Drosophila melanogaster: one gene and its partners. The protein of the gene in region 1 interacts with the protein of each later gene in a pairwise test. Each region holds a gene or a part of one and is shown on either strand. Other genes may lie near its edges. The genes, in order: CG15561, CG12868, CG12268 and mab-21.

Evidence for each region.
Region 2: the proteins of CG15561 (region 1) and CG12868 interact in a two-hybrid assay, tested with the Drosophila melanogaster proteins (one large-scale study listed by BioGRID).
Region 3: the proteins of CG15561 (region 1) and CG12268 interact in a two-hybrid assay, tested with the Drosophila melanogaster proteins (one large-scale study listed by BioGRID).
Region 4: the proteins of CG15561 (region 1) and mab-21 interact in a two-hybrid assay, tested with the Drosophila melanogaster proteins (one large-scale study listed by BioGRID).

The regions. Positions count from the first base shown.
Region 1 is NT_033777.3:31,211,527-31,217,507, forward strand, and holds CG15561 (uncharacterized protein), read right to left. Parts: upstream 4,417-5,981; 5' UTR 4,356-4,416; coding exon 3,282-4,355; 3' UTR 3,250-3,281; downstream 1-3,249. Other genes in the region: zwilch, read right to left, coding at 1-42, 104-599, 657-1,763; CG1542 (uncharacterized protein), read left to right, coding at 2,018-2,083, 2,146-2,229, 2,288-3,061; ATPsynC (ATP synthase, subunit C), read right to left, coding at 5,488-5,651.
Region 2 is NT_033778.4:14,603,114-14,609,058, forward strand, and holds CG12868 (uncharacterized protein), read right to left. Parts: upstream 2,185-5,945; 5' UTR 2,088-2,184; coding exon 2,054-2,087; intron 1,993-2,053; coding exon 1,523-1,992; 3' UTR 1,436-1,522; downstream 1-1,435. Other genes in the region: tra2 (transformer 2), read right to left, coding at 48-176, 235-388, 871-986; CG33469 (uncharacterized protein), read right to left, coding at 2,580-3,062; CG33468 (uncharacterized protein), read right to left, coding at 3,261-3,748, 3,816-3,846; Su(var)2-HP2, read right to left, coding at 4,304-4,720, 4,785-5,945.
Region 3 is NT_033777.3:23,941,201-23,951,228, forward strand, and holds CG12268 (uncharacterized protein), read right to left. Parts: upstream 7,225-10,028; 5' UTR 7,139-7,224; exon of another isoform or gene 6,991-7,138; intron 5,663-6,990; exon of another isoform or gene 5,645-5,662; 5' UTR 5,631-5,644; coding exon 5,409-5,630; intron 4,212-5,408; coding exon 3,817-4,211; intron 3,595-3,816; coding exon 3,485-3,594; intron 3,416-3,484; coding exon 2,965-3,415; intron 2,907-2,964; coding exon 2,489-2,906; 3' UTR 2,428-2,488; downstream 1-2,427. Other genes in the region: Gdh (glutamate dehydrogenase), read right to left, coding at 1,394-1,811.
Region 4 is NC_004354.4:6,006,035-6,015,831, forward strand, and holds mab-21 (mab-21), read right to left. Parts: upstream 7,148-9,797; 5' UTR 6,789-7,147; coding exon 6,041-6,788; intron 3,124-6,040; coding exon 2,774-3,123; 3' UTR 2,149-2,773; downstream 1-2,148.

The DNA of each region.
Region 1 (5,981 bases):
TAGGCGGTTTCTTCAGCAATTCAGAACAGACATCGTTGTAAACTGTAGGTCAAAAACGGAGTTATAGCTAAAAATCCCAGGATCTGCTTTTTGTCCTTCTTACCATTTGCCAGATTTAAGTGGATGTGCATCATCAGGAGATGCTCTAAGGTGCAGTGAATCTGAAACAACTTTGAGATTCTCTCCGTACTCTCGTGCTCGTCGAAATGGCTGTTTTTGAACCCAGCATCATCGTCGCTACCGGCATATTTTGTACTCCGCGAATTGACAGCGCCGTGATGATGCAGCAGCGTCTTTCGCATTCCAGCTCCAGGGGTCGGATCACCCCTGACCGCATTGTGCAGGGATTTTCGAAGCTGGGGCAGATTCTGGGGAGAACCATCGTCCATCGACGCTCCGCTGGAGTCATCCTTCAACAGATTGGTGCTGCACATCTTGCTCTCGGTGTAGATAAACTCGTAGTCCTTGTACAACTTCTCCAGGCCAATTTCCAAAAGCAGTTCCAGAGGCTCGGCCCCACTTAAACAAGGCATGGCCAGACGACGGTTGGCCAACTCGGTGATAATCTTGGCAAGTCGATTTTTGTTAGTAGGCGTGTTCTATGGGGTGAGGAACATGAATAATATGTGGTGGTTTGCATGCATTAGCATACTTACTACTATGTTACACCGTGCAGCACATTGGAAGAGCATACTAAAGGCAATTTTGAGATCCTTGTAGGAGTGGCAGCACTTGAGCAGCTCCCAAAGCTTATCGGTTAGATCCGTGAGCTGGCGAACCTTGGCCCTCTGCACCACATCTTCGATGTCAAACTCCGCATTGCTGATGCTATACCGACCTATAAGGCCAGAGACATCTGTCATTGTCTGATTAATGGACTCGCGCAGCTCGTCCATGTCAATGCCACTGCCACAACGATAGGTGGGATCCCGAGAGACGCCCTGCTTGACATCCGTGTGGTAGGAGACGATGTCCTCGCGTATGTAGACCAGAATGCGCAGCTGATTCATAAAGTCCTGCGTCAAAGGACCGCAGTCGCCCACGCGAAAAGTGTGATTCAAAGCCACATCGCAGTCGTTCAGGTTCACCAGGAGCGGAAGTGCAGCACTAGAGGTCCAGGAGCAGCGTAGTCTCATGTGGGGATTGACCTGGTAGCTATTTTCAATGAGAGTTTCATCCGGTGTCTTGCCATGATGGCGCACCAGGGCTTGCGAGGTTACTAAGTAAGCAGGGCGCACACCCTGGTAGCTAAGTATTCCCCTGGAGAAGTGCGTAGGGTTGAACTCGTACTGGAGCAACTGAGTCTGCCCGAGATCACTGCCGTCGCACAAAAACCACACGGATCCGAGTCCCTCGGCCAGCTGCAGGAACTCGGAGCACACGATGGACCTAGCCTTGTCCACGGGTATTCCGCGTTGATATTCCTCCTCCAGCTTCCAGGGATTCGAGTGATCCAGCTGCAGGTCGATGGACAAGTCGGCTATGGCGTCCACCAGGCAGTCGTCCTTCAAAGGACTTCCCGTCAGATCCAAGTCCGCAGAGCCCTCTTTTTTTGGGGCTGCCCTGGTGGGCGTGGTCCGGAGTCTCGCCACTGCTCCATTGCGATCCTCCTTAAAGACCAGCACAATCTTCTTGCCAGCTTCCGCAGCCCCCACCATGCTCACCAAGTAGGTGGGTGGCGCTCCATAGGTGATCGTGTATGACTCGCCACACCGCCGCATTAGCTCCGCGTAAACGTTTGCCAAGTTCGCAGAAGCCGACATTTTTGGAGCAAATTCGCAAAACAGAAACAAAAAGCGGCAGTATTTGAAAAGCGAAGCGAGAATTGGTTAAACGGTCACACAGCACTTCGCTTTTTAGTGCACCTCAATAATTTTAGCAGTAAGCCGCGTGAAGGTCACACTGCAACATCGATAGCCGATAGACTTAGGCCAGCAACAATCGATAATTCTTATCCCCGCACGTGTTGAAATTGTTTTCTTTTATTTGGATCAGATTTAATTTAGTTAATTCAGACATGTCGGACTTTGAAATGGAGGACAGTGCCTCGGGCTACGACTCAGGGGATAACTCAGATGCCGAGGTAAGTGAGGAACCGAAGAAATGAACACCCCGTATACCAAAATCTCCACTCTTTTCCTGCAGCTGCAAGCGGCATTTGAGCGAGGCGACTTGAAACCAGGCCTAAATGTGGAATTCAATGGCCAGAGAGACAAAGTGAACGATGTGGTAAGTAGCTAGCTGGATGCCCGCTTTTGAATCGACTAATCCAATCCTGCCCACATAGACCAAACTGCTGGCCAAGACAGAGGCTATCAAGATGCAACTGCCTTGGCTGGAACGCCTGGACATGATCAACACACTAGCTCCACTGGCGCCGGAACTCGCTGTACAGCTGGAGAAGCACGAGCAGAAGCGGGCCAATCTCTTCAAGGGCAACGCCAAGCTGCCCTACATTCGGCCCGAGGAGGATCCCGTCCTGAATGACTTCAAGAGGGAGATGCTCTTCCACCGACAGGCGCAAAGTGCTGTTCTGGAGGCCATTCCCCGCCTTCACGAGCTGGGCATAAAGACTCGTCGACCCGATGACTACTTCGCTGAAATGGCCAAGTCCGACGAGCACATGCAGAAGGTGCGCGCCAACCTGATGGCCAAACAGCAAGGACAGGCGAAATCCGAGCGCATCAAGCAGATCCGCGAGCAGCGCAAGATGGGCAAGATGCTGGCCAAACAGACCAAGGTCCAACGCGAAGCCGAGAAGAAGGACATGCTGGACAAACTGAAGAAGTTCCGCAAGGGCAAGCTGAAAAACCTGGACTTCCTGGAGGACGCCAAGGCGCTTGAGTCCAAGCAGAAGCAGTCAGCCGAGAATCGCAAGAAGCGCAACAAGAAGTTCGGCTTCGGCGGCAAGAAGAAGGGCCTCAAGAGGAACACAAAGTCCTCCTCCGCGGGATTGGATGGCGACAAGTCCTCCAGGCGCCAGCGGGGCGTAAAGGCAGGTGCTTCGGTCAACAAGCGGCTTGGCAAATCGCGACGCATTAAGGCCAAGGGCAGAAAGTAATCCCCGGGACTGCCGACTATATTTAGGTGACCAAACTCTAGTTTTATAAAGCCCCCAATCCTGTATAGATTTTTTAGACCCATAAATACATAACATTTTGTGTGCACACAGCCTTACTTTCGAAATGTGGAATACTCCGTATAGAATTTTAGAATTCCATGAGCAATTTTCATAAATTACATTTTTCTAACATCGTTTATTCTAAAGTGGACTATAACTATTACACGTTCTCCTTGTTCTTTCGTTTCTTTTTTAGTTTTGTGCTAGTTTCCGATTCCTCCGAAGAGTCCGCCGTTTTTCGCTTCTTTTTTGACTTTACTTGTTCATCAGTTTCAACATCCTGGGGCAGTCCTTCAGTTGCTCCAAGCCCTGCTTGCCTATCCGCTCTCTTGTCCTTCTTCTTTTTTATCTTCACTGGCTCTTCGACTTCCACACCGTCTTCCTCTCCCGGCTCCCGTGTCTTATTTTTTTTCCTCTTGATCTTGACGGGATCTTCTGGAGTTTGATGTGCTGGGGATTCCTTTCCTGCCTTCTCAGCCTTGTCTTTCTTCTTTTTCTTGGATTTTATGGGCTCTTCCAGTTGGGAAACCTCACATGCCTCGGAAAACTCCTCCGCTATGGATTTTTTCTTTTTCTTTGCCTTCGTATCACACTGCTCCACACTGTCATCAACTGACTCCACTGCTCGATGCTCGGTTTCAGGCGTAGTCTTCAGCTTGCGCTGAAGCTTCTCCAGCATCTCGCGCTCCTGCTGCTCCAGGCGGGCGATCTTTCCGCTCAGCTTTAGGCCATGCCGTGCTCCTTTGTGCGCAGTCCTTCCTCCGCAGGCCTTGAAGAGTTCCGCATCTGTGAGTACCGCCACCTTGGTGACCTCAATGTCCTCCACCCTGATGCGTTCGGAGGTCTCAACCTCTCCACCGCTCTGCGTGAGCAGCGAAGTCTGCAGGAAGTTGTCGTAGGTGGCCTTTCCATCGCTTGCGTGCTGCTCCTTCGCTTTCTTCAGCTTGCGCGCGGAGAATCCTCTAGTGGATATCTCCACCGCTTCCTCGCCCTTTCTGCGGGAGGTGGACACCTGTCCGTCCTGCTGAATCTGGACGTCCACATTGCTGGCGGCCTCGTTAAAGCAGCGCTCCCACCAATGGTCATTGAATTCCTGGGCGCGATCCACTCCCAGTCCCGCGTTATCGAACTTCAAGGCGGCCTTCAAGGGAACTGCGATTCCGGTGTTGTTCTTGCCCAATCCGTCGCCCTCTTTCCAGCCGTATTTTCCCAGTATCTTCTTGGCGAAATCCATCACAAGAAATGTGAAAAATCAAAATAAACAATTGTGCACGTGCGGCGCAATTGTTATCGATAAGCAGATCTATTATTTCACATCACTAACAATTATTACAGGGCTACTTGTGTCGATAGGTTCTGCCAATTACAGGGTGACTACGGTCCTAGCACAACAGAGCTGCATTCGGGCGCCGAAATTTGAACTACCGAAAATTAGACGATTCTGTGTAAATTATCAAGGAAGTAAATCATTAAATAAAAACAAACTTGGCCAAGATTCCATTACACATTCATTTCTCCTTTATTTCAGATTTCAGCTGCGCTCTTCGGCTCATTTCGTTTGCAACTACTCTTAGTACAAGTTTCTTCATAAATATTAAGTGGCAATGAACAAAGACAGCTTTTACATAAAGAAACTGATTTTTTCGAATACAAAATACTTGAAAAAACGTAGACTTTCAGTACGCGCCACAATAAAATCGAAAAGTTGCTGAGCTCAACGATCCACCGCATCTCCGCCCAGCCACGCCCACACACTCGCCCATCCAAGATGTTAGTCGCAGAGGTGATCTCCACGAGATGCCTGCCGCATGTCCAAGAACTTCGGGGAGAGAGAGAGCCTTGGTGGGCGCGCATGGAGATCCTCCGCCGAATGGGCCGAGTGCACGAGGATGGCTGGAGTTCGTTCGGGCCATCGATTGGGTTGTGTTTTCGGTGAGCCGGAAGCTTGCTTTAAGTAAAATCTAATTTTAATGTCTGTCGTCTGGGTATGGGCGTGAGCGTTGGCTAGTCCAATCCGATTGAATCCAATCCTCCTTCCTCCTGATATTTCGGTTGTTCAACTTAAAGTAGGTGTGGTCTTCTCCTCGCTCGCATGTTTTTTAAAAACAAAATTACATGTATTATGTGGTTGTTGTTGGTATTTATAATTAGATAGTTGTACAGGATGTTCTTGTTTGCTATCAATCAATCAATCAATCATTTTATCATTAATAATCGAAAACGAACGTAGGTGTTGCTTGTTCTGGTTGTTGTTGTTGTTTGTTTGTTTGAAGTGTTGTTTGGTTGCTATTCTCGTTCGCATGCGACTGGCGCACGCGCCCGATCGCAGGAAACAAGGACGAGCAATCGATGTGCAGCAGGCGCGCTTAGAAGGCGAACAGCAGCAGGAAGGCCATCATCAAACAGAACAGACCCATGGCCTCGGACAGGGCGAAGCCCAGAATGGCGTAGGAGAACAGCTGCTGTTTCAGCGATGGGTTCCTGGCGTAGCCGATGATGAGGGAACCGAATACTGTTCCGATACCAGCACCTGTTGTATTGGTTCGTTGTGTTTCGGTCGCGAAGTTGGGAGGAGAAAGAAGATCAAAGCATTAGTACCCTGTCCAAGTCAGTTGGCATCTCCGGTTCTCGCCGAAGCTCGCAAGTGAGAAATGGAATTCGGACAATGGGGAATGGATGGGTCACCCTGACGCGCCTTTAGCTTCTTTCACCAGGTAGTCAGTCACAGATTAGTCTGAATTGAGTTCTGCCTTAGAGGCAGCAAGCACATCGCACTAAAAACGCTGGCCACGAAAGGTTTCAATGCCAACCAGGCGGCGGTCACCGGGGGCAACGGCAACACCTGGTAGCAGGATTTCTG
Region 2 (5,945 bases), on another chromosome or scaffold:
ATTCAGGCAGGAAATATCTTAGCAATGCTTATCGAAAACCGACTTACTTGTGCGTCAATCACCATCTGGATGCGTTCGATAGGTCCGTACTTGTTGAACAGCTCGCGTACCTTGTGCTGCGAGGTATTTGTGTTCAGTCCAAAGACTCCTATGCAGCGGCTTGCTTGTGGATGTTCCTGAAACGCCGAAGATCTTTAGGATTGAAAGGAGGCATTAATCGGCAGAATGGCTTACGCGAGACTTGTGCATTCGTTCGCGATCGCGTGATGAACGTCCGGAGCGATGACGCGGCTCCGGTGGCGGCGACTCCGAGGAGGAACGCGAACGGGAGCGTCGGCGAGAGGAGGACCGCTGGTGCCGGCGACTGCCACAGTAATCGTAGTCAGACCTTGATTCGATGTGGAATGGAATGAAATAAGATTATCTTGCGGTTCGTTCTTGAGGGTCTTGAAAAGTTTTGTATTTCGTGTGGATTTCGGGTGGTTCTTGCACGCCTTGGTAACTGACAGTTGGAAAATTTGTGTGACTTGACAAATGCTACGGTTGGGTTCGACCTCTTTCGGCCAAATTCTTTGGTAGTTGGACGTAGAATGAAAATGATTGCTTCGGTGGGTTCTTACATAGTGATGTTCGTTGGTTGGTTGGTTGGTTGGTTGGTTTCTTCCAATGAAATGAAATCGGCTTGAATGATTTTTGGTTTTAACTTTCTTGGCAAGAGCACCAGCTGAATCGGCTGAGGGGGCAAATCCAAATGAAAGGGCCCTATGACAGTTGAACCTTTTTTCCAAACTGCCAGTCAAAACTACTCGATGCTTCATGTCAAAAGAGGTATCGTTTAGGGTCGTCTCACATATGTGTGTACACATTTACCTGCGGTCCTTGTGTCCGGATGAAGTTGTCCCCGCTGACGATGATGACGCCGATCGCTTGTGTTTATATCTGGCGCTGCAATGGAGACGCCCGCTACTGAGTGGCTCCCGATCCATTGGCTTTTTGCTTACCTATCGAAACTTCGCTTATCGGAGCAATGGTGGCGAAAAAAGAAGATGAATGGGTGCACACTATTTGGATTGCCGTTCTTACCATTTTTGAGGGTTTGATTCCCTGCTATATTGCACACCCAATCAGTGTTTACCAATTAATTGATAGCCTTTGGCAGGTTTTATTTATTCTGTCTGCGTTTAGAAAGACGCACGCTTCAACAGGGGTGGCGATAGGTGAGGACGTGCGTTATCGATTGGCACTTTAACCCTTATGCGGCGTTGTCATCCATTTAGAAAAAAAAAACACAAGCGGAATTTATTTAATGTTATCGAATATATTTAACAAATTAAATCAGCATAATTATTATGTACTTTATTCAACGAAATATAGGAAAATAAACAAAATTTGTACTACAAGAAAACAATACTATTTGATTGGTTAGCAAACCATTATGTTATATGGATTTTGTAATAGTACAATTTATTATTCTTGCTTTTAGATAGTCATATACAAATTTAATCCTAAATCACAGGTTAGTTTAGCGATACCGCATAGACCACATATTCTTCACCATCACATAATTATATAGTCTCTGGTGTTCCAGATGATGCAGATCCGTGATGGTTTTCACCACTCGCTCGTCGTTGAAGTGGCTTTTAGGTGGGGCTTCCAGGAGATTTCCCGTCGTAAACCACTTTAGGTTCGAGAAGTGCTTTCTCACACTGTCCCGCAGAGCAACTCCACTGAAAACTGGTGTGCGGTACAGATCAAACATATTCTTCTTGCCATACTTCTCGTGGATCTCATCAACGGTCTTGTCCAGATCAGGCTGCTTGGCGTGATATATGACCCATAGTTTTCTTTGTGGGGCACGGAGATCTGTCAAGCTAAGAACTCCAAAGAATTCTACTATGTAGGGATTGAGTTTGGGTGTTTCAGCTTTTGGTTTTAGACAGAACAATTTTCTCAAATGGCTGTCGATTTCCTCATCCAGGTTGTAATCTCCTTCTGCGAATCGGTTGTTAATCATCGTTGATGTTCCAAATAAATAATTTGCCGTTTTAATTACCCGTGTTCTTATCAGTTACTGAATTCGTTGTCATATTTTAATAACGAGGTGACTCTTGCTTCTCTGACTTCTGAATGCGTGTTAACTTCCTACGCACTCTTATTAAATACCCAACAAATACGATTTCAACTGATTTGTATAAAGTTTGTTTCGTTTTGTTTACGATTTCCAATTTCACAACAAAAGAGCTTTTTGAAGCAACCCTGTGGCCTATCAAAAAACAGTGAGCTTTTAATGCGCTTGTTTCTTTTTAATACCTATTAATGCAGACAACTAGGGTGTTTATGTTTGTTGATTAGGATGATCGGATGACTGTGTCTTTAGACTCCAAGGTATATACTATTATGTACTACTATATTATAACCGCAAGCTACTTGTGTGTGTATATATTTTATTCGACATATTTTTATAAATCATTTAACTTGACCAATAGGTTGTAAAATGTATAATAATACCCCCTATCAACAAATACACATGCCGCTTTTAGTCAACAGATGTCGACTGTAAGTCGATGTTTTTAGTTAGTTTAATGTTTAGCAGGAGGTGGTTTTTGATCATTATACCGCTCAAACCAGGCGTGTTGTATCATTATATAGTCAAAGATTCTTTTTTGCTCCTTGTTATGCAAGTCCGAAACAGTTTTCACTAGTCTTTCATCATTATAATAACTATTTAGTGGAGCTTCCAATTGATTTCTGCTTGTGAACCATTTTAAGTTGGAGAAATATTCTCTGACGACTTTATGAAATCCCACTCCGCTGAATGTGGCGATCTGAAATATTTCTCTGACATTCCTATTGCCATATTTCTTTCGAATCCTTTCCAGAACCTTTAACCTTTCTAATCTAAGGCCATAATAAATGTACCACCGTTTTTGGGCAGCGACATTTGGTTCGTCAATACTGAATATTCCGAAATATTCTATCGTATCAGCATCCAACGACGTAGGTTCTGCAACTGACTTCATATAAAATAGACGTCTCCAGTACTTTTCCAATTTATCGTCCATGTTGCTAATATTCCCTGCTATTAAGAAATATAATCAGATGAAAACTTAAGGTGATTCATAGGCTTTGCCCATTGATAAGTGTGCGGCAATTTTGCCTTCCTACCTCAACAAGCGTTAAAAGAATACTGGTTAGCATTTATTGGCATTTATTATTTTAAAGCTTTATTCTAGAAAGTCTTATACATAAATGAAAATATTTTATGCATTTATGTTTCGATATGTACACGATTTATACAGATTACTCCTAGACATAAGGTAATCGAAGTATCTTCTCCTTTCGTTCTGATATAAATCTGCAATTGTGTTAACCACTTTCTCATCATTAAGGGAGCTACCTAGCGGGGCTTCCAAAATGTTTCCTTTTACGTGCCACTTAAGCCCTTTAAAGTGGTTCTTAACACGGGATCGCATTCCAGCCCCTGTATATACCGGTTTTCTGAACAGCTCGTACATATTCTTTTGGCCATATTTACGATGGATCTGATCCACAGTTTTGTCCACCTGATCTGTTGTCGCATAGTACATGTACCACAGTTTTCGGCGAGGCGCTCGAACATCGCTTAAACTCAGAACTCCAAAGTACTCCACTTCGGTTGGAATGTACTCATTTTTAGTATCGATTTCCTTTAGGCAAAACACACTTCGCAAATACCTTTCCAGTCGCTTTTCTAAATCGGGATATGCACCTGTAGATTATTATATACATATGTGCATCATTATAATATGCCTCTGTAAAGTTTTAACTAAACTTACTATTGGGAGCTTCAACAGCAGATGTTGTCATCTTGAAAAATTTGTTGTTAATAGAAACGGTTTTTCCCCTGCGCAACTTTTATACTTATCGCTCTGTAATATTTCACAAGAGCTTTAAGATTTCGCCAATGGCTCCAAAAGCTTCGAACGAAATGTAATTTTTCTTATTTCTTATTTTACACGATTTATGCGTTTCGGCTTATATAAAAAAATGTTAGAATGTTTATATTTATATTTTATTTGGATACTTAATAAATATGCAATGATAACTATAAGATATTTACTTGAAAGTCCCACACTGAATAAAATATTTAACCATTTATTTCAAAAAAAAAAAAAAAAAATGACGATGCTGCGTAAGGTTTAACAAATTCTTCATTTCAGAATTACAAAATTATGATTTTGCGTTCAACGAAATAATTAACTCTTAATTAACTGTGCTAAAGTAACTTAGAATACTTTCCAACTGGTTTATAGTCTTTGCCCTGCTATATAATAATCTCCGCAGAATCATCCAGCTCGCCTTTGATCACCGTCGTTTCCATGTGCCCTACGCTGCTGTTGGAGTCAGGCAGGATGCTTTCCTCTGACTGCACCGCGTGGTTAATGATGAAGACATTCGGATTTCCGGTGGTACTCAGACTCATTCCGGCGGGGGATACGAATTCGTCAGCAGGAGTCTCACCCAACACTGCACTTAAAGACCCTGTTGATTTCGCTCGTGCAACGGATGAGACTGTGCTCTTGGACAGAGTTCTTGCCGGCGCCGTCTGCTGTTTGCACAGCGCCGGTTTCTGCACAGCTGGTGAAGAATTCATCGACTTTAAAGGGCCCGAAGTCCCTGGTTTTTTCTTGGCATTCGTCCTTGGTGCTGGCATACACACTGTTGTGTTGAGATTAACGAACTGTTTAGGAACAATAAATTGTTTATTAATGACCACATAAATATTTGTCGTAAATAATAACTACCTGACTAGCGTCTTCCCGAACACTTTTCGGGATCCCCAACGTGGATCTTGGCTGAGCGTTTCCTAGAGCTGCTGCTGCTGCTGCTTGGGATGTGGAGGCTTTCACAGGCGTGCTGGTGGCAACATATGAAGACTTTCGCCCTGCCGTCGATTTCGAGCAGCTATACGGAAAGCCAAGTGTGTTCCTGCCCCCATCGTAAAGGGGAATGGTAGCGGGGAGAGAACTCCGCTGTTGGGCATGGTCCGCAGATATTTTCTTCCCTTGCTGTGGGATGTCGGAGGTGGCTATGCTTTTGGAAAGCGTCGAGCTGGTGGAAGCGCCTAAGCTCGAGTTGATTTGGGCCGGGGTTAGAGGAGTCATTGTGCTGGTAGCCTTGTTTAAGTAATGTACATAGTTTTCCAAAAGCTTTGTACCCACATCCACGTCGATGGCCATTAACGAGCTGGTCCTTACAATTTCCTCAATGGTACGCTGTCGCTCGGCCACTGATAAGTTGGCTGCCCGCCGGCTGAGGGTCTGGAGCACCAAGTCAAACATTTGAACCCTCGCCTGCAACTCCACGCGCTGCTTGTCGTTGGGGCAAATCGGAGGTAACTGAATAAAGGACGGCGACGCATTAATTACCATCGAGGTGCCGGCTAATGAGGGATTGGTAGCCACTTGTTGCACTGACTTCTTGATCAGTTTTGTGCCACGTGGCAACTGTTTGCTTAAAGAATCCAAGTCCGCCGAAATGGTAGTGGAAGAGGAACTGCCTGAAACTACGGGAGTGGAAGTAGATGGGTCCACGGTTGTGGGATGATTAAATAGACCTGGATCAGGTAGGGGAGCCGATAGCAAATTCTGTATAATCGATGGAAACGGTTGAGTTGCCGGACCAACCGAAGCGGGAGCAGGTGAAAAGGATGAAGGACCGGTGGGATCAGCAGTCGGAGTGGTAGCCGTCGGGGTCAGTTTACTGGAATCCCGTTCTTTCGACTTGTCCAGTAATTCCAGCTTTGCCCGCACCTTACTTGGCATATTCTTATCCGCCTTAGAGATAAACTTGGTGGTTATAACCAGGAACTGCGGGATTTCCAGCACCGGTACCTCGGCCTTCGAATGCAATCGAGTAAAATCAATAGCCCGCATTGGTCCATCGAGATTTGGACAGCAGAAGTC
Region 3 (10,028 bases), 7.3 Mb from region 1:
CCGGGGACTTGATGTATGTACATACGCAGAACGTATTAAATAATTAACAGCCAAATGGCAGATGCATCAGCGGGAATTAACATTAATTAGAGCATGGAGCGCACAAAATGGTGGCCATTAAACACTGTCCATTGATCTAGTAGTACTAAGTAAATAAATAGACTAGCAATTTTTAGCACCTTTGACTGAAATAGCAGAGAGCTGGCTATTTGAGTGAATCATTAACGAGCCATAAGGTGGATTCAATTCACTTAGTAACAGGCTGTTTACAACTTTTGGTGACCCAACTAACTAAGCCACATGATCGATCGATCGATCTATGGATCGAAAACAAGATCATAAAGTGTTAAGAAGCGTGGCAATAATCGTAAACAACAAATTTTAGGGGCATAGCGTTTTTTCGGCTGTTTCTGTTTTCTATTTTTGCGCATAACCAAGGTCAGATAAGATTCCCTAGTCGAATATTTTTCACTACATATTTTTTGTGTTCTTTTTTTTTTGCTTTTGATAAGCACCAAACTGATTCTATAATTAATAATTTGAGATGAAGCAAAAAAAAAAGGAACAGAATTCGGAACAAACAATTTTTGTGGCCTGACAACAAGGAGATTTTTTCTTTTTTTTTTTGGTGGTTAGGGGCGTTACTTTTTTTTTAGCACTTGACACACTGTGCAGTGCTGTGCTCTCATTTCAATTAGAAAGCAAAACACAAGCAAAAGTTCATTATAAATAGCACCCAGCCAAAGGAAAAACAAACAGCAGCGAAAGAATCGAAATACATTTGCCAGCTCGAAAATAATGAAATGTGCGAAAAGCGGGCAGTACATTCAGCATATGTACATCTGTTTTTGAATGGTGGCACACTTGAAGGGTTTGGAAATCTAATGCAAACACGTGTGCCCAACGTCCGAGCCTTATGCAATGCGGCCTAAAAACCCTCAAATAACAAAAAAAAAAAAAAAAAAAATGTGGAGAAAGGGGGAGCCCAGTCGGCTAAAACGTAAACAAAACAGGCGGCAGCGGTACATGCGCAGAACGTGGGGAAAAGGGGGTCTGGTCTGGTGTGGCTTATATACTGGGTTACATAACTTGAAAAATCAAGACGAAATGCCAGAAATGCCTAAGGAAAAATCGATTTTGCATCGAGCGACAACAGCTGTTCTGAGGGTTTCTTAAAACTTAAGTAAGTGTTGACAAATTTTTGCTTTAAACTTGCTAGGTAATTGCATTTTTTGTTTTAGATTTTCAAGGAAAACTGAATCATCTAGTGGTCTCTATAGGTTTGGCACTTTTGTTTGCATCCCTTTTGAAAACCTCTTAACGTCTCATTTTTTACTACCTACGTGCAGAGTTCTGACTATTATATCTTGGGTTATCTTGGATCAACACTTGCCTCCCTTGGTGGGCGTCTTGTGGGTGCTGTGCTGGGCGCGGTAGCCGGTGATCATCTCGTAGTTGCCGGCATCGCGGCGCAGGGGGAAGGCGATCTCGATGATGTGGTCGCAGGGCTGCATCAGCATGAGGATGCCCTTCACCTTCTGCTTCTTCTCGTCGCGGGTCAGCTTGCCCTTCATGTCGTCCACCAGCGATTCCTCGGCGATTTGGCAGCCGCGATGGAAGAAATACTCGACCATGTCGAAGAAGCGCGGATCCTTGGCGGTGGGCACATCCTTGAGGCGGTCGGGAATCTGGTGCTCGGTGGCATAGCCGCGGCTCGACTGCATCACAGCGGTGGGCAGTGCCTTGGCCAGCGTGGCCAGCTCCTGCTGGCGGCGGGCGCCCTGGCGGGCCAGACTCTTCAGGTGATACATGCTGCTAATCGCTTGGATTCTTCGGGTTCCAACTCTTTTTTTATTCTGTTCTACACAACCGCTCGCTACTCGACGCCGCACCAAACTGGCCGAGGCACTCGCATAGATATGTATATATATGTCGGCTTTTTCGGAGCGCCGAGCTTTTTGCTCTCCGGCGAGAGCGGTGCAAACTTTTCACCGAAAAGCTCTGTGGGTGGAGTGCCCGCTAGAAACGCGGCACCACCGCCGGCGGATTACTCGCTTCGTTGCCAGGGCGAGATTAGGTATTTGTTATCGGTTTCACGTTCACGTTTTTCTTTGACTCCAAGATTAAGCTATGATTTATCATCTTCGGCTATATGTTGAATTCAGGGGGGTACTGAGTTTCTTTTAGAAAGCACTTGAAAATCTAAGTAATAAACATCGTACAGTACAATACAAACGATATATACAAGGTATATTTTATATAAGGTGTTTTTTTAAAGGTTTTGCTAAATTTTTTATTTAGAGCTCATACTTTCAGGAATTTACCACGTAACTTTCGGGCTTATCATGCTATTGATCTTTCACACAATTCCTATGTGACTGTTTTGAGTTTTAATCCTTAGTTAAAATAGAAATAAAACACAGCTAGCTTACTTAAAAAGAAACAAAATCTTGTGGACTATATTTGAAGTACATAATTAAAGAAGAGTTTATACATGTATGGTGCTGTTTCGCTCATGGTAAATGGTGCTGAGCGAGGATCGGATGAAGGCATCGCTCCGTTCCACGAAGCCATCCAAATGGGTCCACAGGAACCAGAAGCTCAGGGAGAAAAACAGCACTTTGCTGACCCAGTCGAGGATATACAGCCGTCGCAGGACCTTCCTGGCCTGCGGCAGAGTGTCCTCGCTCTCGCCCAGTATATAGGTGCGCATGCCCACAATGTAGTTACTGATGTATGTCTCCCAATTGACCTGACCCACCGACGTGTCGAAGAGGTCCTGATCCAGGAGGCTCAGCTGACTGCTCATCTCCTGGAAGCGCTCGTTTCGGAACTCCCACCTTTTCGTTGTGTAGTACTGCAGCAGCTTCAGACCCATGGACACTTTGCGTTGGACATTGAGTAAGCTGGATGGGAATAATCCATGTGTTAATAGGAGAACTTAAAATTTAACCGTTTACTTACAATGGCTTTTGGCCAAAGACGAGCAGCCAAAAGTCGATGAAGTATGCGGGCAGATAGTGGAAGAAGATGACGCAGAAAAGGTGGTGGTAGTAGTTCTTTTTGATGGATCCACCCGGATACCAGAGCGCAAAGCTGAGCGGCGTTTCGTAGAAGAATCGACGACCCGTCTCGATGCTGTCGCCCCAGGACATCAGCGCCTTGCTGGAGATGCACAGATTGCAGAACTCAACACCCGTCTGCTTGTTACCCTTCTCCTGGCTGGCCTTTCCGCGCTGATAGCCGCACAGGATCATGCCGTTAATGGCCTTGTCTACGGGTATCACCGTGGAGGCGTAGTCCGGATTGCAGTGCATCGATCGGATGACTCCGCGGGCGGCGCCGATCATTAGGCCGGTGGGTCCATTGACGCCCTCGATCCAGCCGGGCAATGGCTCGTGAATGGCGGCCGTCACTGCAATGGATTTAATAAAGCAATTAGCCAGGAGGCACAAAAACAGAGTAGACACTATGGTATACCCACCGATCGAGGGCCTTGTGATGATTATGGGCAGCTTATTGTTGTATCTGCAAATTAAATCTTCCGACAGCGCCTTGCTGTAAGCGTACGTGTTTGGCAAGCCGTTTAGTAATCTAAAAATAAGCCAAAGAAACTGGTTATTAGGTGCCACCAAGGTACGCCTGTAAAGGAGCATGAAACTATAGGCACTTCATTATATTTCAGCCAGTATTTAGATAGCCCAAATCTTTATAAGCGTTTGTTTACTAAAAGTAAGTGCTGCTCAAAATTCATTGGACGCGAATAATAAGAGCAATAATATCTGCGGCTCAGGAAGAGCAATTTCAACCACTTACTTGGGTGTAATCTCCGCCAGAGCTTCGTCGTCCATCGTCTCCACCATTTCGATGATGGAGAAGGGGTTCTGTGGAGCCGGGTAGGCTCGCTCCTCCAGAACGCTCTCGTTGCACTGGCAGTATGAGGTGGACACGTGGACCAGAGCCTGCAGCTGGCTCATCTTCTCAGCGAGGCGGAGGACCTTCAGGGTGCCCACCACGTTCATCATGACCATGGGACGCAGCGGCTGGTCGAAGCGCACATTGGCCGCACAGTGGAAGACCACCTCGACGTTGGAGGCGAGTGTGTTGGTGTCATTGGCGCTCAGGCCAAGGTCCGGCTCCAGCAGATCGCCCTTTACCACGCGCACCTTGTCCACGATGCCGGGATTCTTCTCCAGCAGCTTGCCAAAGATCTGAAAGCGAAAACAAGAGGCGGTCGGTCATTAGTTAAGTGTCATGGCGTTGGAATTGCAATTTGGATCCAAATGGCCTGCTGTTCCACTGGCTAGAATCGCGTAATGGGCCATGTCGCTGGTTTCAGCGCCGGCTTAACGTCCAACAATTAAGAGTCATTGTAAGTTTTTGGATTTTTTCTACCAATAATGATCACCTTGACTTATAAACGCCGTGGATGTGTTTGAGTGGGTTGCATTGTGGACTCCACGTAACACCGAATCTCAGTGTCTTTGAGCTGTGCGATAATTTGGTAATTTGCGGGAGTTGCGTTTGAGGTTTTCCCCTTTTTTGCCGGAGGGCAAACGGGGTATTAGTTCAGTTATAGCGTATAATTATATAGAATTTATATCTGAGTTCACGTGCGAGTGCGTCGCGATTCGGATTCGGATTCGGAATTGTCAGGCTGTCTGAAGTGGAAATTATGGCTAACGGCCGGTGGGCAAGGCCATAATACTGAAACACTCATCGCTTCGCATTTTGTAAGATCTTTATTGACGTGTGGCTGAATTGAAATGGAGTGTCTCAATCTATGACTGACTCACATATCACACTTTAAAATAAGCGGAAAACCATTATACAGTCATAAACGAATAATAAATAAATGATTAATTGTATCAAAACTATAGTAGCTATGCAATACGAGACTTACACACTTTTGTGCTTCATGCAAGCTAAAATTTTGGGGTTCTCAGTCGTAATAATACCATAAGCAGTATTATGAAATATCAAACATTTACTAGGGAATTACGAAAATAGCTTTAGTCATATATTCTTTGTGGTTTAGAATTTTAGTTGTGCTGTTAGTAAATATTGCTCAATACTTTTTGGAGAACCCCCGGAAATGCTTTTTTTTTTGCTTCAGCTAGTAATTATTAGAAAATCCAAATCACACAAATCAATATAGTTAGTTTTAATTGGCAACATAGCACATTATACGATTCCATGGAATTTTGATGCACTTCGTTGCACTTTATATGGCCATTACGCATACGTCATGTGGTACAACGGAGAATGGCAATCTAAGTAGCTGCTAATTAAGCTGCTTAAAACGAGGGGGCTGGGCTTTATTTACGAGCCATAAACTATTCAATTTACAGCATTTAATAATGGAATGCTTTGAGTTCCGGTAACTGGAGGCGAATCTGAATACTTACCACACACTTGAAGTACTGCTCCTTGCGCACACTGGGATCGACCCCTTTTTTGGTGCGTATCAATAGATATATGACGTTCAGGTCGGCACAGCTACGCAGTAGTTTCTCCACCAGAACCTTGCCCATAAATCCGGTGGCACCCGTAATAAGGATGGTTTTGTTTGCATAGAACTTGGCAATATCGGACTCGCCGCAATCGGCATCGCTCCTCAGTATGTCCATGGTTAAGCAGCTGTCTGAAATCGGAAAGTAGTCTATACATTCATTATGAGAGTAAGGCTTTTAAAGGATTTAGTTTACTTTGTAAAATTTAGCAAGGGAAGTTTTAATAGTTTACTATTTATATTTTCAAGTTCGCTTTACTGGCCGTTTGTTTGTCTAACCTACTCCGCGCCAGATTCTATTTCAATGTCAGCAGCGGATACTGGTGAAATACGATCAGGCAGAGACAACTGCGGAGTGTTGACCAACCGCGTGTAATTGCCGCGGCCAATTGGGATTTCGGGTGTCCGTTCCCCTGGAACCCCCGAACCCCCCATCACCATTCCCATCACCACCTGGGATACCATCACACCTCGCACATCATCTGTTTGCGTTGGTAAATAGTGACAAGTTTAAAGGCCTGTTAGCGGCCACCGACTGTTTGTTTATTTCATGTTTGGAAAGTGTACGTCCGGCAATGGGTTAATGTTTGGACCATTGCTTTATTTTGGGTTTTTATTTTCGGCTCTTTAGTTTTTAGTGTGTGCATTAGGCTCTTGGGCAATGCAAGTGCGGGTGGAAGTCCGAGCAATTAGCCAGGTTATGATGACTTAAGCGATTTCCACCCATAAAAAGCCTCTGCATTTCACTCTCGTTTTATGGGCGCACTGATTAAAGTAGTTTACTTTTATATGCCGACAACAGGAGAAACATAATAAACGAAATCTTATGGAATGTTTTTCTTTGTAATAAATGCGCTGCAGCTTTATTTTCCATTGCTTAACATTTAAGAATGAAACTGAATCATTGATTGATTGCAAAATTATAGAATGCAGCATTTGTTAAATTATTCAAACACAATTGTTTACGTTTCCGACAAGGCAATTAAAACATTTATAAGTTATTCACATATTCTAGTTTTCCGTACTATTTTTTCTTTGGTACAAGTGTCTCACAGTTTACTTAAAAGTGCTTACACTCAACATTTTATTAAGTAAAATACAACAATTGGTTAGTTTCTAACTTAACTTAACATGAAAGTCAAAAAGCACTTTAAAATGTCTTGAGTTGAAAACTTTGTTGTCCCAGGAAATTGTATGTTTAAATATGCACAATTTGGCAATCTCCTTCACTCATGCAAATGTTTGTCTCCAAACAAAAGACTTAAGACACAAACTCGAAACAATTTGCTCTTTTCCATTCTAACTGCATTAATTTCCATTGAATTTTATTCCCATTGTTATGGCCGATCCGATCTCAGTTTTTTTTAATTAACTAGCACACACTATACACAGCATTTCACGCCTCCTTTTTGGGCGGACGGACAGATTCACGTAACTTGAGGCACGCAAATTATGACATTCGCACACATTTCGCTTACAATTGTTGGATTGACTTTTGTTTTCATTGGGGCTTTTCGTGTCAATTGTAAGGGCAAACACACACGGAGCCAAAGTTCACGTGGGGATTAGGATGGCCAACGACTATTAGGCCAAGTTATTAGCGCCTCGATTGAAGCTGAAACTCACTTCTCAGGCGACGGTGACTGGCGAATCTTCGAGTGTTGTTGGCGATCTCGAATTGAATCGGTTGAAAACTCAGCGGCAACTGAATTGAAAGCGGGCAATTGGCTTGAAGTTATACTCGGCTCAAAGGAAACTCGGCTCTGCCGGCGTCGCTGCCTCGCCAACGCCGCACCAACACAGTTGACCGCTCTGTGTGAACGTGTGCGCCGACAGCTGTGTGTGTGTGTGTGTGTGTGGCCAGGTGAGCAGTGCTGCTTTCCGGGTTGTATCAGGCGTAAGATGAGCTTGCCCTCACCCAGGCAATAAAGCCGAAAAACACACACCGAATCGAAACACTCGAATTAAAGCCAATTAAACGGCACTTAAAGTACTCCAAGTCGAGCGAGGGCAATGCTAATGGATTCCCCGCCTTCGGAATCGGGCCATACGAACTGCAATGGCCTCACAACTCTAGACGGAGTCCAAAACAAAATTCCCCTCGACCGCAAAAAAAGGAGCCGCACCAAACCAAGGCCAGCCACTTGAGGTGGCCCTAAAAAAGCGCATGTCATCCATGGCAGCGAAACAGATGCATGCATACAGTGAGGATCCTTTATAAGGAACTTTCTTTGGAGGGCTTGTCTCACACACGCACACACATTTTTATGAAACATTTCATGAGTTGCATTAAAATCATTTTACATTCAAGTACTGGTCACAGTACTTTATTTACTCTTATTAAAAACACGTTTGTAATGCATCTTTAGCTCAAATGATAAATTCTTAAATATGATAATGAAATCATTTGCTTGACACCTGTACATTTAACCTATTAAAAAAATTTAATTAGGATTTGAAAACCTAATTGATAATCGCATTTATTTGTGTCTCCACTGTAGTGGTATATGCACGAATTCAGACAACTCATACCAGCGCATTTCCGCGCTAAAATGCATTCATGCAATTTTTGGCTGTAGAAGAGATTTTTTCCTCTTGGAGGAACCTGATCCACGGCTGCAAGCTGTGATAATGGCCAGGTAAAAAAAAAAAGTTGCCCCGTCAGGTGAGTTGTTTTGTGGGCTGGCGTAATGTGGGGATGAGGGGCATGACCATTGGACACAATGGAGCACAGGATCGCTGGGGATTTCACAATCCGGTAACAACGAGCAACAACAGAAGATGTCGTGATGAGACGACCTTGAAATTGTGATTCAGCAACGTCTCCGTTACGTTTTCATTTTTTTTCCAGCCAGGTATGTTGGCCCACGGACCTTGCGGTTAATAACAGGCTTCGCAGCTCATCTGTTGTATTCCATTTTCATTTCCCTTTCCTTTGATGACATAATTTGTTTTGGTAGCCCAAGTCGTTGGACGGACGCCCCTGGTCCAGCCCAATTCATAGTTCCACTCTAATTGGTTCTGTAAACGCGACAGAACCGAGGAAACGGTCTCGTCACCCATCCGCGAATTGTACGACCAATCCGGGCTTCGTCTCTAGTCAAGCGGAAGAGATTTCAACACACGTGCCCGCATCTCTAAGAAACTCCTTGGAAAATGTCTTTGATCTTTGCCTTTAACATACCTCGATTTCTATGTGGATACAATGGCATAATCTTGAATCTCGGCTGGATCCTGTTTGACATCCATCTGGTTACTAACTAGCTAGCATTTGCCTTTCACACTTTTGTTGCTTATAAGCTATGCTTAGAACTTGACACTTGTAACTTATAATTGAAAATATTTAAGTGTACAACTCAAAAACTCATAAAATTTTCCTATTATCATAATCTTTCATATAACGTCAAAAGATCCATAAAGAGGCGCAATTTTTTTTGTGAAATAAAACGCAAAATGTTATTGTTTTTAATTAAAAAAGTCTAAATCTTATGTGAGAATTAAGTTAGAATATTGTCATTAGGGGAAGTGGTATACAACTAAATTTAATTAGGATAACTTTGTCAGACTCAATCTATTTCGCATGATCTTAATACTTATATTTAGATATTGATTCTTTTAATCAAGAGCCTAATTTTGATTTTGATATTAAGTTAAGAACTAAATATATACTCTAGAATTGCTCTTCTCCATTCCACAACTCCAACTCCGCATTAAAGTTTTTGATTGTACTATACCGATGAATAATCCAGCATTTGTGAACAGGTTGCTTGAGTAGATACTTACGTATATACATACGTATGCGCCATGCATTCAATCAGTCGCGGCCATCATTATGCAATTTTTTTTTTGCAATTGATTACTCCAAGTGGGCTGGAGCTAAAAGGTGAAGCTGGAGCTGCGGATGAAATAAATGGGATTTCCGATATCCAAAACCCCTAAACACCACCACCACCACCCATCGAATCGGGACTGCCGCCATAAATCAAACATAATTGCAAATCGCGCTTGCTTTCGCAGCAGCTGAATACTAAATAACACTAAATATTTGCTATTTGTTCGAGATTCGATTAACGACTAAGTAGAACACACTAAGGCTTGACCTGAGTCAACCAACCAACTGAGCTGGGTATCGTGCCAATGGGGTATACCCAACTAAAAACTTCGTTTCGCAACTTTGAATATGCTGGTGGCAAAGTTTCAGAAAAGGATTAATAGCTGCTATAAATAATACTATATTATAATAAAATATATAGCTTGAAATGAAGAAATTACATAGATAATATAATATTATACAAAATTCCATTCATATTTATAAGAACTTTATTACTGCCTAACCCATTTTGGTATAGACTAGTGCTATTTTCCAATTGCATCACTTCAACTACTCCCAGGGGAAACCAGTTACAAATCGTGGCAATACGAATGGAAATATGTAGTCATATTTGTTTAACTCAGTTGACTGGGTTTGCTTGTCGTTTGTGGTTCTGTGATTGTTGATGTTTACGCATATCGGCAC
Region 4 (9,797 bases), on another chromosome or scaffold:
GGTGCCCTCAAAAGAGCCAAAGAACCAAAGAACCAAAGAACCAAGAGCCCGAATCCAATCGACTTCAGTTGGTGGCATTCCAAATGCAATTCTCACGATTTGGCAGCCATTTGTGTACCTCGGGCCTCATCATCTCCTTGTAAGCTGCTCATTTGGCCATCGCCAACAAGCCGGCCGGCACAGATGCTCTGGCCCGATCAAATTAACCATTTAAATAAAACATTTGTTTTGATTTGCCAGAGGTGGATGAGGTGCGGATTTGCTGGCGGCTGGCGGGGATCGGTGGGGATGTGGCCAACATGCTGGCTGACAGGCGGTCAGAAGATTGGGACAGCAGGTCCTCATCGAGTTCAGCGCCAGATTTAACCGGTATATAAGAAGTTTATATAATATGTATATATCACAAGTGAGTGAATTTTCCGCCGATTTGTCACGCAATGATGTGCGAAATGCCTTGCACGCACCGGTTGATTTTGAACCAAACTTTGTTTTAAACTTAACAAAAAAAAAGAACACCCAAAATGAAGCGGTTATAAAATTTTAATTATTGCCTGCAAATGGGTGTGGAAATAAAAATGAATATTCCTTAATTGCTATGCCATATGCAGGCGATCATTTCGAGTGGGTGACATGCGAAGGGGCTGTGACAAATTGTGTGTTTAAAATGCGATTATGAGATGTTCATAAAATTTGCTCTTGCGGCCATTAAAACGTATATAAATTGCATGGAAATGGAAATCTCCCAGTGCGATGGTGACAGCAAACAGGAAGATGGGAACCAGAGGAGGACCAGCCGATTGCCGAAATTATCATTTATTAATTATTATTATGGTTTAATTTGTGTGGGAAGCGGCGGATCAAACAGTGTCTGCCGCTCAATGGAATAAGCAAATGTTTAGAAAAATATAAAAAGGAAACACACAGACGCACTGCGTCTGCGTCGACAACAAATAATAAATTTGAGAATGAAACCGCATTAAAATGCAAATCAAATCCAATAAAACACAACTCATTAAAAGCGCAACTAGGCGGTTAACAACCCGATCGAAAAATAAAAGACATTTGAATCGAATTTAGCCCAATCGAGTTGATCCAAAATCATCGCCGTCATAAATGGCCATAACCAAATCGCCCACCTGAATAAATTCGATCCATTCCAACCGAATGTGAATGTGAATGTGTTGGAATGCAAATCGAAATCGAAAATGTTCTCATCAAAAATTAAAAAGAGAACAATATTTGTACTTTGTTTTTTTTTTTTTTTGTGCAGTATGTATCTCAAGCAAATTATTATGATCATTAAAGGGTATTCAGAGGTGCGACTATGCCGTGTTAGCATGATTTGCGTGTCGCCTCTGCAATTGTCATTTGCTGGGTAATTTACAACTATAAAATACAAAAGCCGCACATGCATAAATCAACTTGGTCGCAATAAAGTATAAATTAAGGCTAAAAATAATGGAGAGCCGCAGAAGTGGACAGTTGACTGCCAAAAGCTAAAAACAGAAGAAGGTAACAACACGAAACAATGGGGGAAAAATTAAATTATTTAATTTATGAATGACATAAAGTTTAATTTGAATGTTATGTCTGTCGCTCGAAATCGAAACAGACACGTGACCAAAATGTTTCATCGATTCGACGGGAAAGCACAAATGTATCTTTACTTTCTGAGTCACTCTCGCGAGCGGTGGGCGTGGGTGGGCGTGGCAGATGCGGCACACACAAATTGTGCGTGCGTGTGTGTGTTTAGTTTATTGGGATTGTTAGCTGTCCGCGGAATCGCTGTTAATTCGCAATTAAAATGCGCAACCTGTCGACAGCCAACGAAATGTCAGCCTCTGACATTTTCCACAGTCCATCGAAATCCATCGAAATCGTGGCCTATCAATAATGCCGGCAGAACATCAAAAGGCCATCCGATGATCGACGGACGAGACCCTCGAGAAGTTGGCAGTTCGGACAGATATTCCGCATACCAAAAAATTGCTATGTCAGAACTATTCAAAACCCGATAACTGGGCAAATCATTAATATCACATAAATTGTTCTTACGTAAAAATACTCTTAAATTGTTAAGACTTTTCCTTGGTTTGTACGTACTTACCTACCCCTCTCACAAAAGAAAGTAATAACCCTGCTAATTTTCATTGAAAAAACTTACGTTTTATTGACTAAACTCACAAGAAGAAGGCAAAAACATAGAATAAATAATTTAGGACCGACGGGGAAATATTCCTTCACTCGGCTGTCTCAGTTTCATTAGGACTTACAGCTAATTTAGCTAATTTTGCTCTGCACTTTGCTAATAGCAAATGGACCAATAAAAAAAAAAAAATGTCGTACATACAAATGTAACTAGTTGGTAACTTTTGTGCGTTTTGCGACGATGACGATCTAAATGGATAACACTAAGTATGCTCTAATTATAGGAAACTCTGTAAGCGGCGTATACTTTTCGAAAGCACCTAAACTTAAGTTACGATCTAGCGAAATATCAAATAGTATTTGGGTTACAATTTCACTGCTTTCTCTCTATCTTTCTCACACATTTCTCCTTCTCCAGCTTCGACCCTCCCAGCGCCCTTGATCCTTGCGATCCTTTGTCTTTAGTTGTAGAAAAAAAAAATCACTAAAAAAACAAAAGGCGTATGAAAAAAAAGAAGTCCCAGTGGCGGTTCTGCCCCCGCAGCGTCCGCAGATCCAATGGATTCTCGTAGTAGCTAGTGCTTAGTGTGTGCTGGTGCCTCTACAGCTCTGCAGCTCTGCAGCTCTACAGCTCCTCCAGGCAACGGACATTGGTCAGCATGATCCGGGTGAGCCGCCAAACCTGCTTGGCGGCATTCTCCAGGGCACCCGGCGACTTGCCCTTGAACAGATCCATATTGGGCAGGAAGTAGTGCGGACAGCGGCGGCACTGCAGGCAGGATATCAGCTGCAGGAATATCCCATTGATCCGGTCCGCGATGCAGTTCTCCTCCCATTCCATCTCGCGCGGATGCTTCTCGCATTCGTAGAGCAGCAGGGTCTTCAGGTGGTACGACGTCACCGGATTGCCGGGCAGGTCCAGGTGCCGATCACGCAGGGTCTTCAGAATGCTCAGGCAGCGTCGTCGACTCGCTCCTGGAATTGAGGTGAAGAAATGGAATGGAGTTGCTGAATAAGGTAATTCCCCAAACTAAAGTCTAGTTAAGCCTAAATAGTCTCATAGAATTGCAACAAAATATAAGACAGGATGCTTAAAAGCACTTGAAACATATCAATTCCTATCAGTTCTATAACAAAAAAAAACATAGAAAGCATATAATATTGATTGGGTTAGTGGGTGGGCCTTGCTGGTAAGGATGGAGTTCCGAATGGAGTTCCGAAGATTGCCCTTGGCTCAATGCATCATTATGTCCATGCGATGCTATCGATATTATTGAATCGAAACGATTTCGACAGAACTATAGCTGAATCGTTCTTTGTCAGTTAAACAGCAACTGATCGATGGGTTTGGTCATTAGAAGTCTTTCTATCTCAAGTACATCGGTTCATTTATTTCGCTAACTATTTTGACCACTTGAGAAACCTATTTGGATTTTCGTACCCTGACTCATGCCTTTCGTGCGCTGATATCAAATAAAAGTATTTAAAACTTCAAGATATTCATACTACCAATAAAAAGTTAAAACACTTGAGATCCTTCCAGTGAAATTACATATATTATATTTCATAGATAGGTATTATTGAGTAGATTCGAGTAATACAAACATCATAAGGCTGTGGCAATATTCAATTCTTTATGTTCTTCGCCCCTTCAGTTTGATTGATCAACCCATATACGTATATGAGGTACTTATGTTCTGGTTTCAATTTCTCCTTCGAGAGGCGGACGTACAGGTATAAAGTCGGACTGATTCCTAATTTATTGTGGCCCGAGTTCGTTGGAGCACATAAATCATGGCTACGTTGGCACGATGTCAGCCGGGCTAATCTCGGCTCCGGTCCGATAATCACGTCTACGGCTTTTTTCCCGCTCCGGAGCGTCTTGCTCCGGGTTCCGTTTCACATTTTGGGCTAATCAATATTGAACGATATTGCCACAATATTGGCACTCGACTCGTGGGGTCGCAAGAAATCGGGCAAAACAAGTGCGATTCCAAGTACCTCGAATCGAAATCGAAATCGAAATCCCAATCCCAATCGAGTCCATGTCAAGTGGACGTTAATTTGGTAGCTGCTAGTGACCGTGCTAATTATAGTCACGATCTGGCGATATCGATACACTTATGTACCCCACCTTATTCCCAGAAAGCTAGTTTAGGGGGAGTCGGAGTCTGGGTCTCAATTCGTTTTCAGTTTTCGGAGAGCATTAAATTAAATGACAAACACGCGGTGAAAAAAGTCGGATCAATATCGATCAGAGATCGTTGTCAGCGGCCTTAGAATTGATTTCGGTTTCAGTTTTGGTTTCAGTTTTTTGTTTCTGTTTTTTTTTTTTGTTTCTGTTCTCTTACTGTCTCTGTTTCGATTTTTTGGCTGGATTTTCGTTTCTCTGGTTTGCCTCGGCTCCCAGCTTTTAGCTCCCCCCCCCCCCCCCCCGAAAACCCAATCTTTGTGGCTCTTTCTTTATTTTTTTCCTTTCTTACCCCGTGTGTGTGTCATCTCATGCCTGGCCTGGCCTGGCTGTTGTTTTATTTATTTGTTGACTTTATCTAATCGCCGAGATTTAAAATATTTATAAAATCGTTTAGAAACTTATTTATGGCCCAGCCATTGGCATTGTTCATACAGAAACCCGTTTCTTTCGCTCTGTAGCTCCATAGTCCGACCAACTAACCGTCTAACTGCCTTGGGACTACGACTACCGAGACTGCGCTTATCTCTCGGGGATCAGCAGATTTGTGTGCGTTGTCGCGCTGCGACCAAATACCCAAAAAAAAAAAAAAAAAAAACAGAAACTGAGGAGCTAAAGACTCCAACTCCCCGTGTTCGGGCTGAGACTCCCCCCATCGATCGAACATCAGATTTATGATCGTAGCCAACCGGGCGACGCTGGCTCGTATCTCATATCATATCTGGGCCCGATAATCGGATGTCTCGTTGGGCAGTCGTCGACTCAATGCGAGTGGGTCCCCACTAATCGCCGGCCATCTTATCGCCCTGCCTAATTGAATCTGCAGTGCAATTTCCCGCCCAACTATGCAGATTCCGTGTGACAATCGCTGCAAGCTGATTGTGACCATCTTCGCATCGTAGATATACATACATCGATTTTGGATAATACTACACGATAAGCAGTCATTCTGAGATCCTAAGCTCAAATGATATCTTATCTTACATGAACATTTAAAAATGATACAAGTGTAAAACATCCTTTAAAGAATCCTAATATGGTGATCTCTTAAGATCCTTCTATAATCCAATTTCCATAGCTCCATAGCTTTCCATAGAATCTGCCGTTTAGAATTCAACTAAAGTTAGTTAAATCCATTAAGTGGGCTTCTCATTAGATTACTAAAAACTAAAATGGAACTTCATTTTTTCCCAACTAGCTGAAAGATCTCCAAAATGATATGATGTTCCCCCGTCCGACGGTTAATTTACAACCAATTACGGGCGTATCAAGACCAAGTCGCTGATTTGATGGGAATAAATCAATTCAGTTTAAGTGTGTCACTGATTACTGATTGGGGGACACTACCAAAACATGCCCGAAAAACGGTAGCCACTCATTCGGCACTGAGAGAAATAGTTTTCAAAGCAATGGTATTTCCGATTAATTAAGAATTTTTTGCGACTACAAAGATACTTGTCTTCAAATCTATCTTATGATAACATTCGCTTGATAAAATATATTTCTTAGTGTATAAATTGAAAGGCGTGAATGTGGATACCAGGATATATCTTTTAACCATAAAGGAAACTAGGAACTATGTAATTGCAAGAGTTGCAGTCTTTAAGCTAGTGTGTGAAAAAAGAGTTAAGTGCTCTACCCTGAGTAGTTCCCATATAGACGACAATACAACCCGTCTAAGATTTCCCGACGGCAACTCACCTTGCAGCAGCCGGTTTTCGGCGTCGGTGAAGCTGAGCACCCAGGCGTCGCCCTCCATGGCGGAGTTCTTGCCCTGCAGTGCGATGCACTCCTTGGATAGCATGTCGAATCCCTCGGTCTTCACCTCGGCGACGATGTTGGGATGCGGCCATGGGATGCCCGGCAGCGGCCAGTGGGAGGCGGATCTCGGCCAAAGGCCGGCGCACTTAAAGGCGGGCGTAATCTGGACAATGATGCGCTCCCGGATGCGCAGCTTTACCTCCGTGGTGTCGGCGATCATCTTGACAATGTCGCGGTAGGCGCACTTGTCGCAGGCCTGGGCCACCAGGGTCTGGAACCTGGAGCGGATCTTTCGGGCGGACAGATACCCACTGGCCGTGATGAACTCCACCCACAGGGACATGGATCTCTTCCTTCCATCGCTCAGCTTCAGGACGGCACATCCCGGCAAGGTGCCATCGTCCACAAAGTTGAGCACGCCCATCTGATTCAGGTAGATGATGATCTCGAATTCCGTGGGCGATATGACCTCCAGGCCCTCGAAGCGACCGTTGTAGTCGTTCAGCGAGGATATGAAGCGCGGCTCCTGCACCTCCACCTCCTTGAGCACGTCCTGGACGATGCGACACACCTCCTGGATCTGCTTGTGGATCTGCGCCTTGCGCACCTGGACACGGTCCGCACAGTACTTGTTCATCTGGTAGACCATCTTGGACTGCGCCGCAATCATGTCCGACGGCACCAGCATTCTCCACACGGCGGGGCACTTGGTGGCGCCCAAAAGTCTTTAGTCTCTGCTGTTGGAATCACTGCCAACTTCACTCATTACCTAGGAGGCACACATGTAGTTAGTCACACACAAAAAACAATAAGTAATTTAACGGCACAGCGACGGTTCTGCAACTTGGATTATTTTCGTTTCTCGTTTTTTGATTCTTTCAATTTGGTATCCCTATATTGTGATATTTAGATTCTTTTAGATTCTGCAAGACGGCACAGCGACGGGGACCCTAATTCTTTTTTCTGATTCATCAACTAGCTCTTCAATTCTCCGCTCTCTTTCTCCCGCGTCTTCTCGCGCCGTCAACTCAACATTGACTGATTTCGAATGGCGGGCGCACCGCAAGAAAACTGCCGCTGCCTCAGCTTCTGCCAGCGTCGCTGCAGCCGCTGGCTTCGCAGCCCAGATGGGCTCCCCTTTTCAAGTGCGAGCGAGACAGCTCCAGCCACGAGCGCGCTCTCTCTCTCTTTCTCTCTTTCGCGCTTGCTCCCCAACATGGCTGTGCCGCTCTCTCTCTCTCTCTCGCTATAACTATAATTTGAAAAACAAACAAAAACATAAAGTAACATAAAGTAGCATAGGGAAACACTGCAGATCTTTGGCTATAGTTTATTCTATAGTTATATTCCCGTAGATAAGCCCGGCTTTTAAGCCACCCTTCCATTGGCTCCGCCCCCTTTGGCACTCTCTCACGCACACACGCGCATCTAGGCATTGCCTCGCTCACACAGATACTCACCCATACTAAGTACTCACCTCGTTTGTTTGTTTGTTTTGCCTGCTTGGGGTTGTTGTTGCCTTTGTGGTGGGTGGAAACGGTGGACTGAATGAGTTATTGGGGAATTGTTGGTGGCTTTTTGCGGATGGGAGCGTACATTGGGTTGGGCGTCGCAGGACAAGTCTAATGTGCCAGACAGTAGAAGTAAACTAAAGAGTCCTGGGATTATAAATATTGATTTGTTTACTCTTCAAGTAAGTAGTCCAAAATGGTGACATACGTTTGTTGAATGTTAAAAGTTAATAAATGGCTTAACTTTTGTTTAAGGCCACCTCATCACAAAATCAATGCATCATAACTTGGCTAAAACAAGTCGTATCTTCAAATGTTATACCTTCCCGAACTCAGCTCGTGCCGTACTAACATCGTATATTCGAAACTGGACTTTTAAATTTTTTAACCATTTTTCGAAAATTTGGAAAATAAAATAACAATCATTAAAATAACAAAAAATTGGTAAAAAATTATTTTTCAAAAATCAACTAAATTGGAATACAGATTTTTAGATGGCTTAAGCACAAGCTTTTAGAGGTATGCCACGTGCAAATTGGGTTACATTTGGCCAAGTTATGAGTTGTGGATATTCAGTATATGGACATATATATATTATATAGATATATTAAATTGAAGCAACTTGTTTCCCTCGAAAATAAGTGCATTAATATTCCATCTTATTATTGTTATTGCTAATAGCAAAAAAAACCTTACACATGAAATCTAAGTAATACTTTTCCCAGAGATTATCCTAAAAGAAATGGTTCCTTCTCTTCCGCCAGAGAGTATCTATTTATCTCCCTCCCCCAACTGCCGCCGTCTCTTTCGCTCGTCTACACGCCATTGAATTCCTTACCGAATTAATGCATATCTAATGTGATTAATGAGCGCTTAACACGAGCTCTCTGGACCCCATCCACTCCACCATATTTGCGCTTCGTCCAGGGTGGGGTCACCACATACCCCTCCGGAGACCGGAGACCGGAGACCCAGGCCCAGAAGTCCGAGATCCAGAGGGCAAGATGGAGATGGCCTGTCCGTTCGAACATTAAGTTGCACTTTAAAGAGCGGCGGACAAATTATTATGTATAATTCAATTTGAACTGTGTGCCGGAACGTGCATTAAGATAATGCTAATTAACACCTCGGGGTTGGACTATACTCGCACTATGGCTATATCTATACGCATGCAATATTCCCAATTCCCCCAGATGCTTTTCCCATCTCTACGCCTCTCTTTCTTTGCGATAAGCCAGCGTTGAATGGAGCCTGTCGGGGATTGGGAACGGTAATGGGGAATGGGTATGGGCATGGACACCTAGAATGGAAATGGAAATGAGGCGAGCTGATAGGAGGGTCTGAAAAATGCGTTCAGAATCATTTTAATGGCCGCGTAAATGTGGAAAATTATCAAAGGAACACGAACTTAATTGCGGCCATTATCGCTTTTATGGCGTATAAATTGGAAATGAATTATGCAACAGCCGCAGGAGCGGCGTCTCGAGATCTTCATTAGTGGCCAAGGTCAGATCGAGAGGTCCGTAAAAGGTCCCGTCCGTCCAACAGCCCGATATCGTCGATCTTTAGCATCGATGTGCAGGATTTATGCGTGTCAGCGATCGTCGATCGATCGGCGATAGTTTCCGATCCAATCCTATCCGGTAGTCGCGTCTTTAATTAAATTGTGTATGTTGGCAGTGTGTCGCCGGCTCTTCTTTGGGGTCCTCCAAAAAACGACTTCATCGGGAGGCACTGCTTATCAGCTGCACAAGATCTCCACCTTCAATCCCTCCCAGCATCTGCACCGGAAAAAATTTAGCTGTCCCTTGCGCATAAACTCGTTATACAAACATACAGTTTTAATGGCAACTTAATAATAATGAATAAACAACATTGCCCCTCTTTTTCTCTGTAGGACACATACGCTTTCTGGTTGCGCGGCAAATGAGCAAATGGCGGAAAATTAAGGAGGGAAAGGAGCATCTGATGGTGCAGGAATAGCAGGAGCAGCACCAGAAACCGAAAAACAGAAACAGAAGCGACAACTGCAGCACAAAGATTGCAATCTCCGCTGGCAGCAACATCCCTTCGCCCGACGATCCTCCCCTGCTTTCATCCATTCCCTGGGCATTCCCTTGCTGGGAAACGATGTCCAGCAGCAGCTGCTGTTCCTGCACGACACTCTGACCCCCATCCCCCCCCGT